Linked DNA regions of Coturnix japonica. The protein of the gene in region 1 purifies or fractionates together with the protein of each later gene. This does not show direct contact. Links are inferred from orthologs where the notes say so. Each region holds a gene or a part of one and is shown on either strand. Other genes may lie near its edges.

Region 1 (4,217 bases):
GTTTCTAACAAAATATGAATGACTATCAAATTATGATGCAGTTAAAGTCCTCAATGACATTATGGGTCAGACCTTTTTTTAACAAAAAGAATGATAAGCAGTGTTACTAATCAATCACAAGCATGAGACTACATAAAAAGTTAGAGAGTTGTTAGGGGACTGGTAGGAGAGTAACTCTTGCCAAATACCCAGAAATAATCCTTACATCTAAAGCCTGTAGTTGACTCAGAGCGTGTAAACTGGCAATAGGGGCCTTTAAGAATAAAACTTTAGATGAACTTTCCCTTTATTCATCCCTTGAGACTGCAAGAGTGATCTGAGCATATGCCATTACATTAGGAATGCTCCTCTCCCTTCTCGGCACTCCAAGTCCCAACTACAAAGTGTAAATCTGCATAACTGAATCAATCATTCCCGATATATTTACTCAGGACGATGTGAGTTGTGAAATCGTGGGAAGAAAGAAAACTCCAACTAAAACCAGTGCAATCTTTTCTGAAAATTAGTTTGCTTGCATGAATTACAACAGTACTGAGACCCTAGATGTATCTGTGAAGGGAATTCATTATTGTCTTTTACTGTCCTTTATATTAGTTAGATTTTCCTTGCAAACCTATTTTATGAAAGCTATTTTTACTCTATATGCACAATTGAAGGTTTTTCTCTTATTTTGTCGACTATCCGGCTTGTGAAAAAGGACCATTATGAAAGATGCCCAGCAGCCTTCACTTTTTAAAAAGCAATTTCCCAGCTCTGAGATCAATGAGAAAGATGAGCAGCGTTCTGATGTTAGTGGGCAAATAAAGCACTTAGGCACGCATATCTATAAGTTTAAATGAAGTTGGCAACACCGTTATTTTGACAACGGTTCATTTTCTTCCTGTTTTCTACCAGTTCCTTGTGGGTCCCTTCCAACCCGGGCCGTTCTGTGATTCTATGTGTGACTGTACCGTACCGAGCTTTTGGGACACCGACCCACCGCGTCATTCCGCACACACTGCCGAAGTATCTGCAACTCCGGACGCGAAACTACGTAACCTGGACGAGTTCAGAACAACCTGCATCCCGCAAAAGGATTGCAGAACCCCCCAGCAAGAGCCATCCCTTTGCTCCCTGCCTCTCCCTACGCACTTCAGCAGGGACGAGAAACAGCTCCACGCCGCGTACAACACGTCGAAAGGCGTGCAGGACCTCTCCTCCCCGCCTCTCACGACCCCCGGGCCAGCGCTTCCCCCTGGGTAACAGCTCCGGGTCCCTCCCACGGGACGCCTCGAGGCGGGGGCCGCCGTGCCCGGCGCCGCAGACAAAGGGCGCCCGAGGCGCGGCCAGAGCCGGTCCCGCGGTGCCACCCGGCGGGGCGGAGCCGGGCGGGGCTGCCCCGGGGCGGGGGTGGCGGGGACTATAAAGAGCCGCGTCCCGGGTAGGAGCGGGCTGTGCGCTCGGTGCAGCTCGTGGCGCTTGGGCAGTCCGGATCTAGTCGGTGGCTCAGAGTATGGACAGCAGCATGGACGGCTTGGATGTAAGTGCAGAGGGGAAGCGGGGCGCTAACACTTCATTCACGCTGGCCCGCGTGCGCGCTGTTCGCAATCGGAGTTGCGCCGGGGGCTCGGAGCCGCGTCCCGCCGCCGCTCCGTCCGGGCTGAGCGGGAGACCAGGGAGATGATGCGTCCCACGGAGCGGCGGGGTCTGCAGCCGCCCCCGGAGCCTGCGGGGCGCCCCGGGTGCGTCGGGCCGGGGCTTTGCGGCGTGCGGGGCGTGAGGCTGATGAACTCGCAGCACATGAGGGGTTGCGCGTAGCCAGGTGGCACACGCCCGCCTGCATCGCTTTTCAGCGCGGTGCCCCGAACCGTTGGTGGTTTCCTGATGCGCTTTCATGCCCTCACCAGAATTTCGCTTCCCCTTTCTACCGCCGCTTCAGGGCGGGAACAAAGGGCGGCGGTGAGATGCCCGCTGCCCTCGGGGCTGCCGCTCCCCGGCTCTTGTCCCGTCGCCGAGCTGTCAGTCATTTCTCGGGGGGAATCCTTGATATCATTCTTAATTACATCAGCCGCGGGCATCCTCTCTTTCTCCATGACCCCATTCCCTTAATGAAAAGGAGCCTCGGAGATGCAGAATTACCTAGAGTGATTCTTCTAAGTCTGTGCGTGTCATACATCTGGCTTTGTGAATCTGTAGCACGTATCCCATTAGAGCACTGAAGTCTCCTGAAGGACGGGGGTATTTCTGAAAGTAGGCGTCATCATTCTTTTCTCCCGACCTCAGTTACACGGTCCTACTCCTCAGAGAAACACGGAGGAAGTTTTTCCTTGTCCGGTTTTTGCAGTGTATAGCCAGTGAAATAGAAATTGTATATAAATAGCATTTTTCTGTCTGGGTTTCAAGAAGTTTGTCAGTAGGTGATGGTGAAGACTTGCTGGGACTCTTAGTGTATATAGTGAGCTGTTGTAAAAGAGCCGACATCTAATTTTTTTTTTTACTTATTGTTTTAGCTGTCCTCTGGCATACTCATTGAATTTGCTGACAATGGCTCGGAGGAGATTGGCTCAGCTGACTATGGAGACTATGGAGAGCCGTGCTTTCAGCATGAAAACGCTGATTTCAACCGAATCTTCTTGCCAACTATCTACTCCATCATCTTCCTAACAGGAATAATCGGGAATGGATTGGTTATCATTGTTATGGGCTACCAGAAGAAGCAAAGAAGCATGACTGATAAATACAGGCTTCACCTCTCAGTTGCTGACCTCCTCTTTGTCATCACCTTGCCGTTCTGGTCTGTGGATGCAGCCATAAGCTGGTACTTCGGCAACGTCCTGTGTAAGGCAGTTCATGTCATTTACACAGTCAACCTCTATAGCAGTGTCTTGATTTTGGCTTTCATAAGTTTAGATCGTTACCTGGCAATAGTCCATGCCACCAACAGCCAGCGACCCCGAAAGCTGTTGGCTGAGAAGATCGTGTATGTGGGTGTCTGGCTGCCAGCTGTGCTTCTGACAGTGCCTGACATCATTTTTGCCAGTACGAGTGAAGTAGAAGGACGGTACCTCTGTGATCGCATGTACCCTCATGACAACTGGCTGATTTCTTTCAGATTCCAGCATATCTTGGTAGGACTTGTCTTGCCTGGTCTAATAATCCTGACTTGCTATTGTATTATCATATCTAAGCTGTCACATTCAAAAGGCCACCAGAAGCGCAAAGCCTTGAAGACAACAGTTATCCTCATCCTTACCTTCTTTGCCTGCTGGCTGCCATATTACATTGGCATCAGCATAGACACATTCATCTTGCTTGGAGTCATCAGACATCGCTGCAGCTTGGACACAATCGTGCACAAATGGATCTCTATCACAGAAGCCCTTGCGTTCTTCCATTGCTGCCTCAATCCAATTCTTTACGCCTTCCTGGGTGCCAAATTCAAAACATCAGCACAGAATGCCTTGACATCTGTTAGCAGAGGATCAAGCCTCAAGATTCTTTCAAAAAGCAAACGTGGGGGACATTCTTCTGTTTCTACAGAGTCAGAGTCTTCAAGTTTCCATTCCAGCTAACACTTCCCCTTGCCATCCCTTCATAAACAGACACTTTAAAAGTTGCTCAAGATTTCAGAAAAACAAGACTGACCATAATGTACAGATTTATTTTACCGTTGGAATTTTTTATTGCTTCTTTTAGTCTTTGTGAAGTTTAATTGACTTATTTATATAAAACTTTTGTATTGATAAACTGTCTAGGCAGGTCCTGTGGACAAGTGGTTAGTTCACAAAAGCTCGAGTGTTTGTATAGGTATGTGAACTAAACACCTGGGTTGTAGCAAGTGTGTTAAATGATTAGAAAATATTTCTCTGTTTATATGTAAATGTTTTCAATGTTGTTTAATTCTTAAATATTGGCTGGGTATTTTTGCCTTACTAGATGTTTGGTTTACAATTGCTTAACTGCTGTAGAAATGGCACTTATAACTAAAGCTGCCTCTGTTACATGTTAGGGCTTGTTGTTTTTGTTGGGTTTTTTTCCATTATCAGTAATTGATGGTTGGGCATTTTTTGTTGTTGTTGTTCAAGGTAAATAAAAATATGTGACAAAAAGTTATTTTGAGTGGTATTTTTATTTCTGGTTAAGTGTTTTTTATCAATGCTTATTGTGCATTGAGAATTCAAAGTAAATTCTCTTTGAAAGCTGCATAGCTCCTAAATGAATGAGGGGAAAATGAGTAT
Region 2 (6,226 bases), on another chromosome or scaffold:
CTGAGAGAAAAAATACACCCAGCCCCTGACAAAAACCTACATCTATAAATAAAAGTAAGCACAGAGAACAAAGATTTTACAGAGCTCAACCACCTTCTCTTAAGAGTCCCAGGTTCTGTATCGTAACCCACCCAGCCTAATACCTGAGATCAGCACAGCTCCAGAAACGATGCCACTTAGCATTCCCCCTTTTCAACAAGAAACAGTGTTTCACACAGCAATACTTCAATGATCCACCTGAAGCAAATAGGCCTCTTCTGCTCAGTGACACCACTATTTAAATCTAAGCTCCGAACTTCAGAATCACAGATCTAAATGCAAACATGTAAGTACTGCTGCTTTGCACTGAAACAATAGGCACCTTCCAGGAGCAGTTTAGAATAGCTCAGGCAGGTGGGCGGAAGGCAGGCGTTATCAGTTCCTAAATGGGAGGACTGGCATAAAATGTTTTTTAAAAGGGAATAGCACACTAACATAGCGCCGGGTTGTACTGTTGGGTTTGGTTCATTTTAAAGGACAAAAGATTTGAATAACCAGCGTAACAACATCTCAGATCGTGTTTCCTCAGAGGGGGGAAAATCCTTGATGTTTATCAGGAAGTTTGTTCTATGTCCCACTATAGTTAAAGCAGAAATTCCAGGCATAACTTAAAAGGGGGCCCTAAGAAACAGGGCCTTGGTTACTTTAAAATGCTCTTTCCCTGTCTGTCGCATTATTTTCATTTCTATAAAGTGTAATTTGCAATTCTGATGAAGAAAAAGATCAATCCCTCAGCTGCACAACTCTGCCCGATGAAGTAAAAGCTGGAAGCCAATCACTTACACAACACTCAGGTCCTTATTGCTATTTTTCTCATACAAAAGGCATGAAGAGAAACTACCATTCCCTCTCCAGAAGGCAGGCATAGAATTAGCTCTGGTGACAGCCATTCCACAGCACAAAAACACAAACAAGCTGATGGCCTAAAATCATTAAAAATACTTAATTTGGGAGGCAGTAAAAAGTAAAATAAGCCAAACAATCCTCCCAAGCAAGACTGTAATCCCGGCTTGTCTGCTTCCTCTTCTGAGGTGAGCCCTCACTTCAAAGCTCACCTACAGCACAACAAAGAACAGTTACTGAAATCGACCCAGGCAAGTGCTCTGCTCCAAGACATACCTGCACATTCACGCTCCTTAGCTGTGAGGGCTCAAAGGAGTTCCTCCACTTACACACAGAATGACAGAAATTAGAACATTAAATGAACACAACTGGACTGCCAAACAGAAAGGCTTAACAACGAGCAGCATCAGTGACAGCGCACCCAGAAGCTCCAGCATTGCGCTCCCCTCCTGCTTTAACCCCACTGACATCTTTTCCTTTATTTTTTAGGACAAACTGTATTGCTTTTGCTGCAATACAGAAAGCATTTTAACAGGGTTGAGTATGTTTACTACTTTGTTTATATATCTCTCGCATTTACAGATGTTTCTGTAGACTCTGTCACTGACTGATACCGATAATGCCATTAAATTATCTAACTCCTGCAGATGCAAACATTTTTTCAGCCTCACTTAACACTGTTTTCAAGCAGCCCTAATGCAAGTTTTCTTAGAAACAATGAGAAACAAAGCCTCCAAGAGAAGCACCTCGCTGCTCTAATACCTGCCCTCCCACCTGCTGCTCAGCTCTGCAGTTCACTCTCACAAGCTGTTTTGAAACGTCCAACCAAAGAAACCAAACAACTCTGTATTTCAGGAAATGGCTCATCACACACACACATAAAACACCCTTAACTTTACAACAGGAACAAAAATAGAGTGAAGAAAACGAGGCGATGTCTGTTAACTTATAAATTCATACGAATAATCTCTCGATCTCTCTTAAGACCCAAAATAACTGTTTAATCTGTAAGAAGCTTTCAAAGTTAGCACTCAGAAGTCTCAGTTATTTTCCACTGCAACGTCACCTCTTACACATACGGCATCAGTTCTTTGTTTTAATACAAGAAAACTCACTCCAGGTTAGAATGCCGCATATTGCTCTGATGATCACTTGGAGGTGAACGTATCCAGAGCAGTGATTAAAGCTGTCAGTCAAACCACAACTAAGAACGCACAGTAGACCAAGTTCGGATTCAAATGGCTGTAGCAAAGAGTAATATAACTGTAATTAAATTAGAACTGCTTTGGACTTTCACTAGAAGAAGAAAGAATTAAAATTTGTTCTTCAAACAAGATGTCTGAAAGGCAATAAAACCCACTGAGCTAATGACAGATTGCAGCCGATGTTTCATTCTTCTTTATGCATAACTTGTTCGGGTCAATTCAAGCAGTAGCTGGACCAACTGCCAGCCAACTGGCTCTCGATACTAATTGTCTTCTCAGGAATCCCAGTTCACATTTCTCCTCCTTCCTCTGCCAAAAGGATGAGGGTAAAGGGGCAGAGATTAAAACAAAGAGCAATGAGGAACACTGAGAAAAAGAATGTTTCACAAAGAGAACTGTTTGTGATCCTTTCTATCCTACCTGAGCTATAAAGATTAACTTCTCTGGGAACATCTTCCGAAGCTTCAAGGGTAAAGAATGCCACGCAAATGACAACAGATGGCCCAACTGCTACACTCGGTTTTCTCTCCCCACATACATAGATGCTAAGCTTGTTTATCAGTTTAACATCACAGATTACACCTATCGCAACAAGCTGAACTCCTGGATTTCAGAGCCAATCTAATAAAGGCGTTCACACCCTCAGACGGCACCTTCCACTCGTGCTTGGTTGTTATTGCCACACAAGGTCACAGACCCCTGTGAGGAAGCAGGAGAGTTAACAGCCAGAACTCGGCCGTGTTTCCAAAATAAAGCGGCGGCAACAGCAAGAGGGAACACACACCTCCAACCACACTCGTGCTGGGAAACGCTGCTTCATGGCACAGCTGTTATCCCACAGGAACAAAGCAAAGAACTCCACACAGCAGCCTCCCCCGGCCGAGACCCCGAGAGACAGACAGGACGGGGCTGAATACAAAGGGAAGGGGCCGTGTTGCGGAACTGCCGCTGAGAAGCAGCGCCTGGGCCGGGAGCGATCCCGGAGCGCCGAAAGGGCCAAGTGACCGGTCCCGGCTCCCGGGAGCCCGGGCAGGATGGCGGAGGCCGAGCGGGGCGGCGACACGCGCTGCCGGGGAACAGCGGGGCCGGGGGATGTGGGCTCGTGCAGGAGCCGTGCAGCCCCACACACAGGCCAGAGGTCCCGGGACCGCCGCCGCAGGCACGGAGCGATACCGCCGGCTGCGGCCGGGCCCCCGGCTCGGCCCGGCGGGGAGGGGACAGCGCGGCGCGCCGAGGCCGCTCGGTGAAGCTCCGTGGGGCCGGAGCCCCTCAGGCGGCCGGGCCTACAACCGCGGGGTCCCCGCGCCCCCCGCCCAGAGCCGAGGAGATCGGCGGAGCCGCAGCGCTGCCCCTGGAGCTCCCATCCCCGCCGCCACCCCCCGCCTCCTCGTCCTCCTCCTCGTCCTCGTCCTCCTCCTCCCTCCTGCCCTGCCCGTGCTGCAGAGCCCGCTCCCCTCACCGCGCACGGCGCCGTTCAGCTCCTCCGTCCCTCGGCCAAGATGGCAGCCGCTCCGACCCAACCCGAGGCAGCGACTTTCCAAAGTCGGGCGCAATCTGCGCACGCGCGGAGTCGCCGGAGCCGCCACGGGGTGGAGGTGACTACAACTCCCAGCGTGCGCCGCGCCATGCTCCGCGCATGCTCAGTGCGCCCCGCGGTGTCGCCCGGCGGGGTGGGTTGTCGGGTGCGCGGCCGAAGTGATCGGCGGGTCACACACAGCGACGGACACAGGGCAGCTCACACAGCACAACTAAGGCAGCATCTCTGCAGGTGAAGCCCAGGCCAGCACGCAGCTCTGGCTGCTTTCCCCAGCAGGACAGCACCCAGCGCCCTGTTTGCATCACATCTGCTAAGGCAGATGTGGATTAATGACATTCAGTATCACTTTTCAGATACACCATGTAAATTCTCTGTTATCAATATTTTTCCTCCATTTGTAACTTGCACTGGGGCTAAAAATGTTTTTTCAGCATCAACAACCCTAATCTCTTTTTCTATTTTCCAGCTTTTGATGCTTCAAGTCAAGTTCCACCAGTGTTACCTGTAACATCCATAAAGAATGCATTCCGGGTGCACACACCACTGATGATTTTCTGCTTCCAGGACAAGATGAATGTTGTGAAATCATCCCATTCAAACTCTTTCAGAATTTTCCCTGTTACAAATCACAGCCTTTATATGAGCTGCTACACCAACACCGAATAATGACTTAACACCAGACTGAGGTAGCAAATGCAGATGAATTTAATTCAGTGGCAGAAGCGACCCCAGCACCTCCTCCACCAAACTGTGTTCCAAGCACTTGCCCCCAGTGTGTCCTGTTGAATTGGGGCTGCTCCCTTCCAGAGGCAGATCTTGGACCATTTATCTTTGTTGAGTTTCTTGAGATTTTATCCACATTCATTTTGGACTTCACTGTGTCGACAACAAAAAGGCAGTCCTGGTACTGAAGGGACCATGGTGACCATGGAAGCAATTCTGATGGTGTGAACAATTACCTGTTCTGGGCTAGACACAGCCCCAAGCAAATATCATACAGTGACTGTTGAGTAGTCATCAGATGTCATCAATTTCGATTAGCTGCTAAGCTACTTTAAATCTTTAATAACGGCTTAACACTTCTGCCTGCCTTAAGGTTTTGTGCAGCTGCTGATTTAGAGGTGTACGAATATTTCATTTTCACAGCATTTTCTTTATGACTGCATTTCAAAGTACTTTGTAAACATCTATAGAGCAAGTCTTCTTAAAAACAAGTCTCCTGGAATTTGTTTTAACTGGATCATTGCTGCAGAGAATGAGTTATAATTTAAGATCAAACTTATTTTGAAATTATCATCTTTAAGAAGAGATTATTTTTCGTGCTGCCTTATAATCAGTTGTTTTCACTTGTGAACATAGACATAGTGTGGTGGTAGAGCGTGCATACTTCTAACCACCTTTAAAATCAGTATTGATTTCTTTGGTTGGGGATTTAGGAAAATATCAGTAGGAAAATATCAATTAATTCCTGCTAACTGAACAAAACCTTCAAGGTTGGCAAGACATTGTTATTACTTCCAAGTAATCTAATTAAAGGGTAAAACAAAGACACTTAATTATTTTATCATTCAATTGATCTCCAGTGCATAATCAGAGAACCAGGAGGAAGTGATTAGCTGTCTTGGGAAAGGAAATGACACAGTCATCCAAAACAGGATGTTTTAAAGGGAGGATAAGATACTGGGAAGATCGTTACTGTCTTCCCACACAGAAAGCTGAATGTGATTTTTTCCTGGGACTGAAGAACATTAAACAACAAATCTGCTGGGGATTTTTTTTGGGAAATGATAGGGAATGCTGATGCTGGGATGTGTGAAACAGAATCATAGAATGAATCATAGAATAGTTTGGGTTGGAAAGGACCCTTAAGGTCACCTCACTCCAACCCCCTGCTATAGGCAGGGACACCTCCCTCTAGACCAGGTTGCTCACAGCCCCATCCAGCCTGGCCTTGAACACCTTGAGATAGGGGGCACCCACAGCCTCACTGGGCAACCTGTGCCAGTGTCTCACAATCCTCACAGTAAAGAATTTCTTCCTGATATCTGGTCTAAATTTGCTCTCTTCCAGCTGAGAGCCATTTTCCCTTGTCCTATCACTACATGCCCTTATAAGAAGGCCCTCCACACCTTTCCTGTAGGCCCCTTCAGGTACTGGAAGGCCACTGTAAGGTCCCCCTGGAACCTTCTGTTCTCCAGGCTGAAGAGCCCTAGCTCTCTCAGCCTGTCCTCTTAGAGCAGGTACTCCAGCTCTCTGATCATTTCCATGGTCCTTCTCTGGATGTGCTCCCACAGCTCCATGTCCTTCTGGTGTTGGGAGCTTACTGGAATTGGATGCAGTACTCCAGGTGGGGTTTCACAAGAGCAGAGCAGAGGGGCAGAATCACCACAACCTACCGTGTGTTCTTTGATTGGAAGCTTTGCCCTGCTTTTGTCCTCACAGAGGTCTTGGAAGCAGCCAGCACTTCAGCTGGATCAGTGGTGAAATGGCACAGCAGGTTTACAGGTTCCCAGAGGCACCCTTGGGTCCTTGCTATGGCCTTGCTTTCCAGACCCTATGTCTAGGAACACATACATACACATATCTCCTTCTGCCAGACCTT
Region 3 (6,152 bases), on another chromosome or scaffold:
TAGCACAACAGACACTAGCTGCTCAGTCTAAATAAACTGGGATAAATAGCTATCTGGTTGTAGCCCTACTCCTTCTCTCTATACACTAAGGTACCAAACCCTCTGCTAGGTGTTCTTTAGCACAGCTGCTCACCACACAAAAATTGCTCTAGCTCATTAAGTACCCAGGTGAATTTCATAAGGCTTCATCCACTTGATCATATCTAATTGACTTAAACAGTCATCACCTGTTTTTACTTCACTTGTGCTTGGATTCACTTTTTAAAATTAACTCCTCTTAAATCCCTTATCACCCCTGACCTTCTGTTCCAGGTGAAGACAGAGTTCCCACTTAATGTCACCTTTCATTTGCTCTTCTCCACTCAGCCAGTTCTTTGTCCAACAGCACTGATCCTCCCTGCTGCAGCCAGTCTTCACATTGATTTGTGTCCAGCACAAAGTTCCTTCCTCCAGATTCACAACATTGCAACTCACGTCAAGTGAACTGCCTTTCTACACTGAGTAACAATGAACCCCTGGGCAGTTACTGCAGTTTAACAGGCACACAGTAATTTGTTAGCAGGTCTATGCCTCAAGTATAGAGAGGAGCCCAGCCAAACCAAATCACCAGCCTGAACACACAGTCACCCTGGAGAAGATGTCAGCCTCACCAGCAACACCTGAGAGCCTTCAGAGCCCAGTGGTTCACAAAGAGCTGAGGGATGCATCTCTTAAGATCTTCCCTACACCCATGGCACTAGATTTATTACCAAGTCAGAAGCAAATACCCTCCACAGCCCTGCAGTACTACAAGGCTCTGCTTGACCTTCAAGCAGGAGATACCAGATGATGATGACTACCTCAAGCATGAGGTGAGACCTGCAGCCATCTATGTTTCCACAAAGTAACAGACAGTACTAAGATTGTCTCATTCTCTGGCTTTGAAGGGACCAGGAACAGAGCCTACTAACAGCCCCTATTTAATTTATGAAAGCACCAAGTAAAAGCTAGAACTCCACTGGCTGCCACCCAGAGCTGAGGTCTGCAAGGAATTTAGCAGGAGCACCTCCAGAGGAAGGAGCAGAAGCACACATCAGAATAGGACAAGAAAAACAAGGCAGTGAAAGCTCACAGTGCCTTCTCCAGGCATGGATAAAGAGGGACTCTTTGGTGGCTGCTGGGTTTTAGATGCTGAGGAATCACCTGCAGAAGACAGCAAGTATAGTCAGACATGAGCCCTGCCTGCAGCCATTGCCTCCTAGTGCTGATAGGACACCTTAGCTTGGGAGATGTTGAGAGCTCTGACAGGAGGATCCCCACCTTGCCAGCACCAAGCCTCTACAAACCCGGCCCTGAGAGAGCACTAGTATCCTGTGGAGGCAGAGCAGGGAGATGGGCAGGCAAACAGCACTGACATGGGATGCCCTGTCCCTGAAGGTGTTCAGGGCTAGGTTGGACTGGGCCCTTAGCAGTCTGTTCTAGTATTAGATATGGAGACTGGTGACCCTGCCTACAGCAGGGGGGTTGGAGCTTGATGATCCTCAAGGTCCCTTGCAACCCAAGCCTTTCTATGATTCTACGACATGCAGGAGCAGCAGGGAGAATGGAAGCATTTGCAGCACTGTTGAGCTATCGCATTCACTTAGAGAGAGCCTAGCAAAAAGGAGCAAACGCTGCAGAGACGCACAGAGGAAATCATTCACATCTCACCATTTGTAAGGGAGCTTCTGCCTGCTGCAGCTGATCTGTATCTGGAGCAGAGGGCAGACGCCCAGCTCCAGGCCGGGAGAGCAGAGCAAGGAGGCAGTGCCAACCACAGGCCTGCAGCCTGACAGAAAAGCCATTTCACACTGCAAGCCTCTGCTTCACAGGCCTGGCACCAGCAACACGAATCTTGCCCTCTCTCTCTTGCACTGTGTGTACTCACACATAAGAAAATAATTCCTGGATTTTTATTCACTCGTATTTATCAGGAATCCATCCATCACAGAGCACAAGGTACCAGGGCTACCCCAGCCAGCAAGCAAACCTACAGGCCCGGGGCTGCACCAACAGCACCAGGGGTCCCCACTGGAGCTCACAATGTGCCAGCACAAAAAAGAACGATGAAAACTGCTGCTTGCAGTGGCTGCAGCCAACACACTGCCCAGGGATGAACACAGAACCATGCCTGCAGACAAGCACTTGCTTTCTGCCCTCCCAGCTCCAGCAAGGCCCCGGGGGAGCTGGGAGGAGCGGGAGGCACTGCTCTGACACCAGACAAAGGGCCTTCCTCTGAGTCACGCAGCATCCCCACGGACACAGCCCAGCCGCTCCCTTCCCTGCTCCCTTCTCTGCCGCCTCCGCCATCCAGCCAGACCCGGCACCGCGTGGTCGGGTTGGGGCAAGGCACCTCCGTGTCCCTTCCAGGGCTGGGCTGTTGAAGGGCAGCACAACACCCGGTGCCATGGGGAAAGGCTACTCCGGCTTTGGTTGCCATAGGGATGGAGATGCAGCCCAGCACAGGAAGGAAACGTAGACTCACCCGAGGGCAGGTGCCGATGGGAGGAGAGAGGGGCTTTGGGCCCGAAAGGGATGTGTGGCCCCTCTCCTTTGCTCCCACCCCCTGGAAAGCAGCTGTTAATTAAAGAAGGCCTTAACAGACCTGGAAACGATCACGTTCTCCAAATATCCCCATTCTCACACTTCATCTCTGCACTAAAAAAGCCCCGGGGAAGCTGCAGTCCCCAGCGAGCCTCACCATCATCCCTGCCTCCATCACCAGAGCACAGCACCCGCTGATGCTTTGATATGCAAATCCGCCATCGGATCCCTACACCGTGCTGCCTGCAGGCAGCACAGCACCCCACACAGGGGCCTCCTTTGGCCAAGAGCAGAACCAGCCCCTCATAAACCCCATCGCAAGCACGGGCACTAATGGAAGGGATGCACACCGAGATCAAAACCACTATGCCAAAGGTGCAGCAGGCAGCGTGGGCAGCTGGCAGGGCCCCACTTGGTGCCCTTGGCTCACTGAAAGCACAACTAGAAGACAGGAAAGACGGGCTGATGGTGCACAGGCTTCTGCTGCAGGTCTCACACTCACCGAGATGTTCTTCACACCCTTGTTCTTAGAAAGAAACATGTCTTATTTTACTGCATACACATTTATCAGAAGAAAGCACGTTCCCAGCCCATTTTCTTGCTTCATGACTGAGGATACCGTGAAAGCCCAAGGAAGGAGACAACAGCAGCACACAGCCCAGCACCTTCCTTTGGCTGCCTCAACCTCTGACCCCGAGATGCTTCAGGACAGTGACACCGTGCTCTGGTCAAAGGAGAAGAAACCGGAGCATTGCAAGGCTCAGAGCAACGCTCCCGAGAGGAAAACCGACACCCTCCGAACACACAGCAGCCTCAGTTCCTCCCAAGGTTACGGAACGGATGGAAATAGAGCGAACCTGGGGCAACCAAGCACAGCCCTGAGCACAAGCAGGGCCCGTTCCCAGCCCCATCTCCCTCACGCTGCTTCCACGCCCAGCTGAGGGCTGTAGGTGGGCCCATAAGGACCGCAAAAGAGCCCGGCACGAAAAGGGCCCTCCCAGGCGAACACCAGCTAATCGCAGTCAATAGGATCCACGTCCTTAGAGCACGGCTATTATCTCTGACGGGCACAGAGCCCTCCCGCAGTGGGTACACGGGGGGCTATAAGGGGGTGCGGCCGCAGCCCGTGCCCGCGGAGCTTTGTCCCACGTACGGGCGGGGCACACGCAGGGCCGTCCCGAAGGCACCGCAGCCGCCGTGGGCTTCTCCCCGCTCCAAGATGGCAGCCCCCCGCCCCAGCCGGCCTCGCCGCCCTCCTTCCTTCCCTCCCCCCTTCCCCGAGCCGTTCCCGACAGCGTCACCGCCCCCAGCCCGCGATGCCGCACCGCTTACCCGGCGTCAGGCGCGGACGGGCTCCCGAATCGCTGCCGCTTTGTGCCGCCCCGCCGGGCGCTGCGGTTCGGCACGGAACGATCGGCTCGGCTCGGAGCGGGGCGCGGCCTCGGCTGGGCGTAGCTTCGGCACCGCACCGCGCTGGGCGGGGCGTGCGGGCGGCGCGCCGTGCATGCGTAGTGCCGGCTGGAGGAGGGCCGCGGGGTCTGAGGTGTGCGCCGGGAGTGGGGGGGTCGGTGGGCTCCGGGGGACGTGGGGTGCGGTGGGATGGGTGGGGGCAGTGGGTGGTGGGCGTGCGGGAGCAGCTGCTCTGTGCCTGTCGGTGCTGGAGGTCGCTGATCCTTAGGCCTTATGTGCGGGCCTGGCTGCGGCCTGCTGCGGATGCCGCCTTTGCTGACCCTCGTGAGCCTGGGAGGGGGGCAATACAGGGGCTGCATTAGGCTCCTATGGCTATGAGTAGTCACACGGAGCGGTGGGAGCGGGATTCCTGTGCCCTGACAGCTGCACCATGGGCCAGGTAGTGCGGCGTGGCGTGGGGGATAGGGAAGTTGTGTGTGTGTGTGTGTGTGCGGGCTGGGATCTGCTGCTCACCCACCAATACGTTCCTTTGGAGCAGTTCCCTTCAGTTTGAAGGGAGCCACTATCGTTCATCGCAGCTGCCCTAGGTCAGTGCTTCCTGATTTCTTTGATGGCTTTTTTTAATGGTTGAGCCGCTGCACTCCACCTTCTCCTTGCTTGGCTCCTCTTCCCTGCTGCATCACTTCAGTGCTTTCTGGTTGGTGATCACACCTTGTTGGTTGGGACTTGGTCACCCAGGTTAGGGCTGCAAACAGGATGTGGGCTTGTGGCTTGATGTCTGTGGGCCTGTTCTGAGACCTCAGTGCTTTTAGAAGTAGTAGAGATGCAACCAAAAGGAGATAGTAGCAGTGAGTTATAGGACTGCAAGTTGTCCTTTCAATTTATACGTGACTCCAAAAGACCCTAACAAGGCAAGGTTTTGACTTCATCCCCACAGACCACATCAGTGCTGCTGGGACCCTCCTTTGACCTTAGGAAATTCTTTTTGGCTTAATTTCCTGATGGTTGCCCAAGGAGGTTGTGGATGCCCCATCCCTGGAGGCATTCAAGGCCAGGCTGGATGTGGCTCTGGGCAGCCTGGACTGGTTGGTTGGTGACCCTGCACATAGCACAGGGGTTGAAACTACATGATCACCGTGGTCCTTTTCAACCCAGGCCATTCTGTGATACACCAGGAACAATCCATTGTTGCTTTAGTACAGCACTGTGAATATGCACATATGTAATGGATTAGTGTGCTTGGATACTGGAACAGATGTAAGTACCTTATAGCTGGGACTTCTGGATGTTTAAGATAACTAAAGTAAGTTTTCCATTAAAGGTATTGAGCTCTTCTTATCTGCTTTTCCTGATGGCGCGAATGAGGTTAATGTGTTTCACTGGAGAGCTGTTAGCAGATGTACCTGCAGTGAGTTGCTGTTGGTAACTCGGATCAATAAATATCCTGTTTATTAATAGCTAATCCTATTCATAAATGGAATTCATGAAGACTTAATTCCTCTTTGTGAATTTGGCCTTTCTGCCTGTCATTAGTGCAAAACCAATTATGGCTTGGTAATGGGTATCTTGTGTATTTTTAACCCACCCGAGCCCTTAATCACATTGTTTCCTCTACAAGGATGGCCACGAATGGGTCGACCCTACAACTTTCTGCTGCTTCTTGCAGTGCACCCTGGCAGAAGTTAAATAAATAAACCCACAGTACCTGAGTAGGGGTTTAGGTATTTGCATTACACATATTGTCTTGGATTTATTTCTAACAAGACTCCTTTGTTAGTACTGTGTGTCCTGACATGGGTTTAAAGCATGTAATTCTGCCTTCTTTATCTGGAGGATGTCCTTGCTTCATATCAGCCCCCTGGGGTGGTTTACTTGTGTGTCTGCATGTGTTTTATGCAACGTATATGTCGCCCGCTTCTGTTATCTGGGATGGAATGTTCCAGGATTCCTCCATTCAAAAAGCACTCTAACCTGTTGTAAATACAAATCACTTCTTTATTCTTCTGGGGAAGCGGTGAAGGTAGTAGCTTTAATATGGCACTTGAAAATGGCGCGGTGGGTAAATAACTACCAGGGGCGTGAAACTGGTGAAGAGTCCCTTTGTGGTTTGGTTTTTGAACTTGATGTCAGTCTCGTTGCGCTGGATGTGGTAATGCTGAAGGGTCCTTGAGATGAGAAGG

Evidence for each region.
Region 2: the proteins of CXCR4 (region 1) and ITCH purify together in Homo sapiens (affinity purification with western blotting; 5 studies listed by BioGRID and IntAct, with this or other methods). This does not show direct contact. The link is inferred for Coturnix japonica from reciprocal best matches to the Homo sapiens genes CXCR4 and ITCH.
Region 3: the proteins of CXCR4 (region 1) and TMEM63B purify together in Homo sapiens (co-immunoprecipitation; 3 studies listed by BioGRID and IntAct, with this or other methods). This does not show direct contact. The link is inferred for Coturnix japonica from reciprocal best matches to the Homo sapiens genes CXCR4 and TMEM63B.

The regions. Positions count from the first base shown.
Region 1 is NC_029522.1:27,930,101-27,934,317, reverse strand, and holds CXCR4 (C-X-C chemokine receptor type 4), read left to right. Parts: upstream 1-1,417; 5' UTR 1,418-1,492; coding exon 1,493-1,519; intron 1,520-2,489; coding exon 2,490-3,551; 3' UTR 3,552-4,082; downstream 4,083-4,217.
Region 2 is NC_029535.1:1,378,664-1,384,889, forward strand, and holds the start of ITCH (E3 ubiquitin-protein ligase Itchy homolog), read right to left. Parts: upstream 3,663-6,226; 5' UTR 3,547-3,662; intron 1-3,546. UniProt on the Homo sapiens protein: Acts as an Acts as an E3 ubiquitin-protein ligase which accepts ubiquitin from an E2 ubiquitin-conjugating enzyme in the form of a thioester and then directly transfers the ubiquitin to targeted substrates.
Region 3 is NC_029518.1:27,288,498-27,294,649, forward strand, and holds the start of TMEM63B (CSC1-like protein 2), read right to left. Parts: upstream 4,013-6,152; 5' UTR 3,895-4,012; intron 1-3,894. UniProt on the Homo sapiens protein: Mechanosensitive cation channel with low conductance and high activation threshold. Osmosensitive cation channel preferentially activated by hypotonic stress.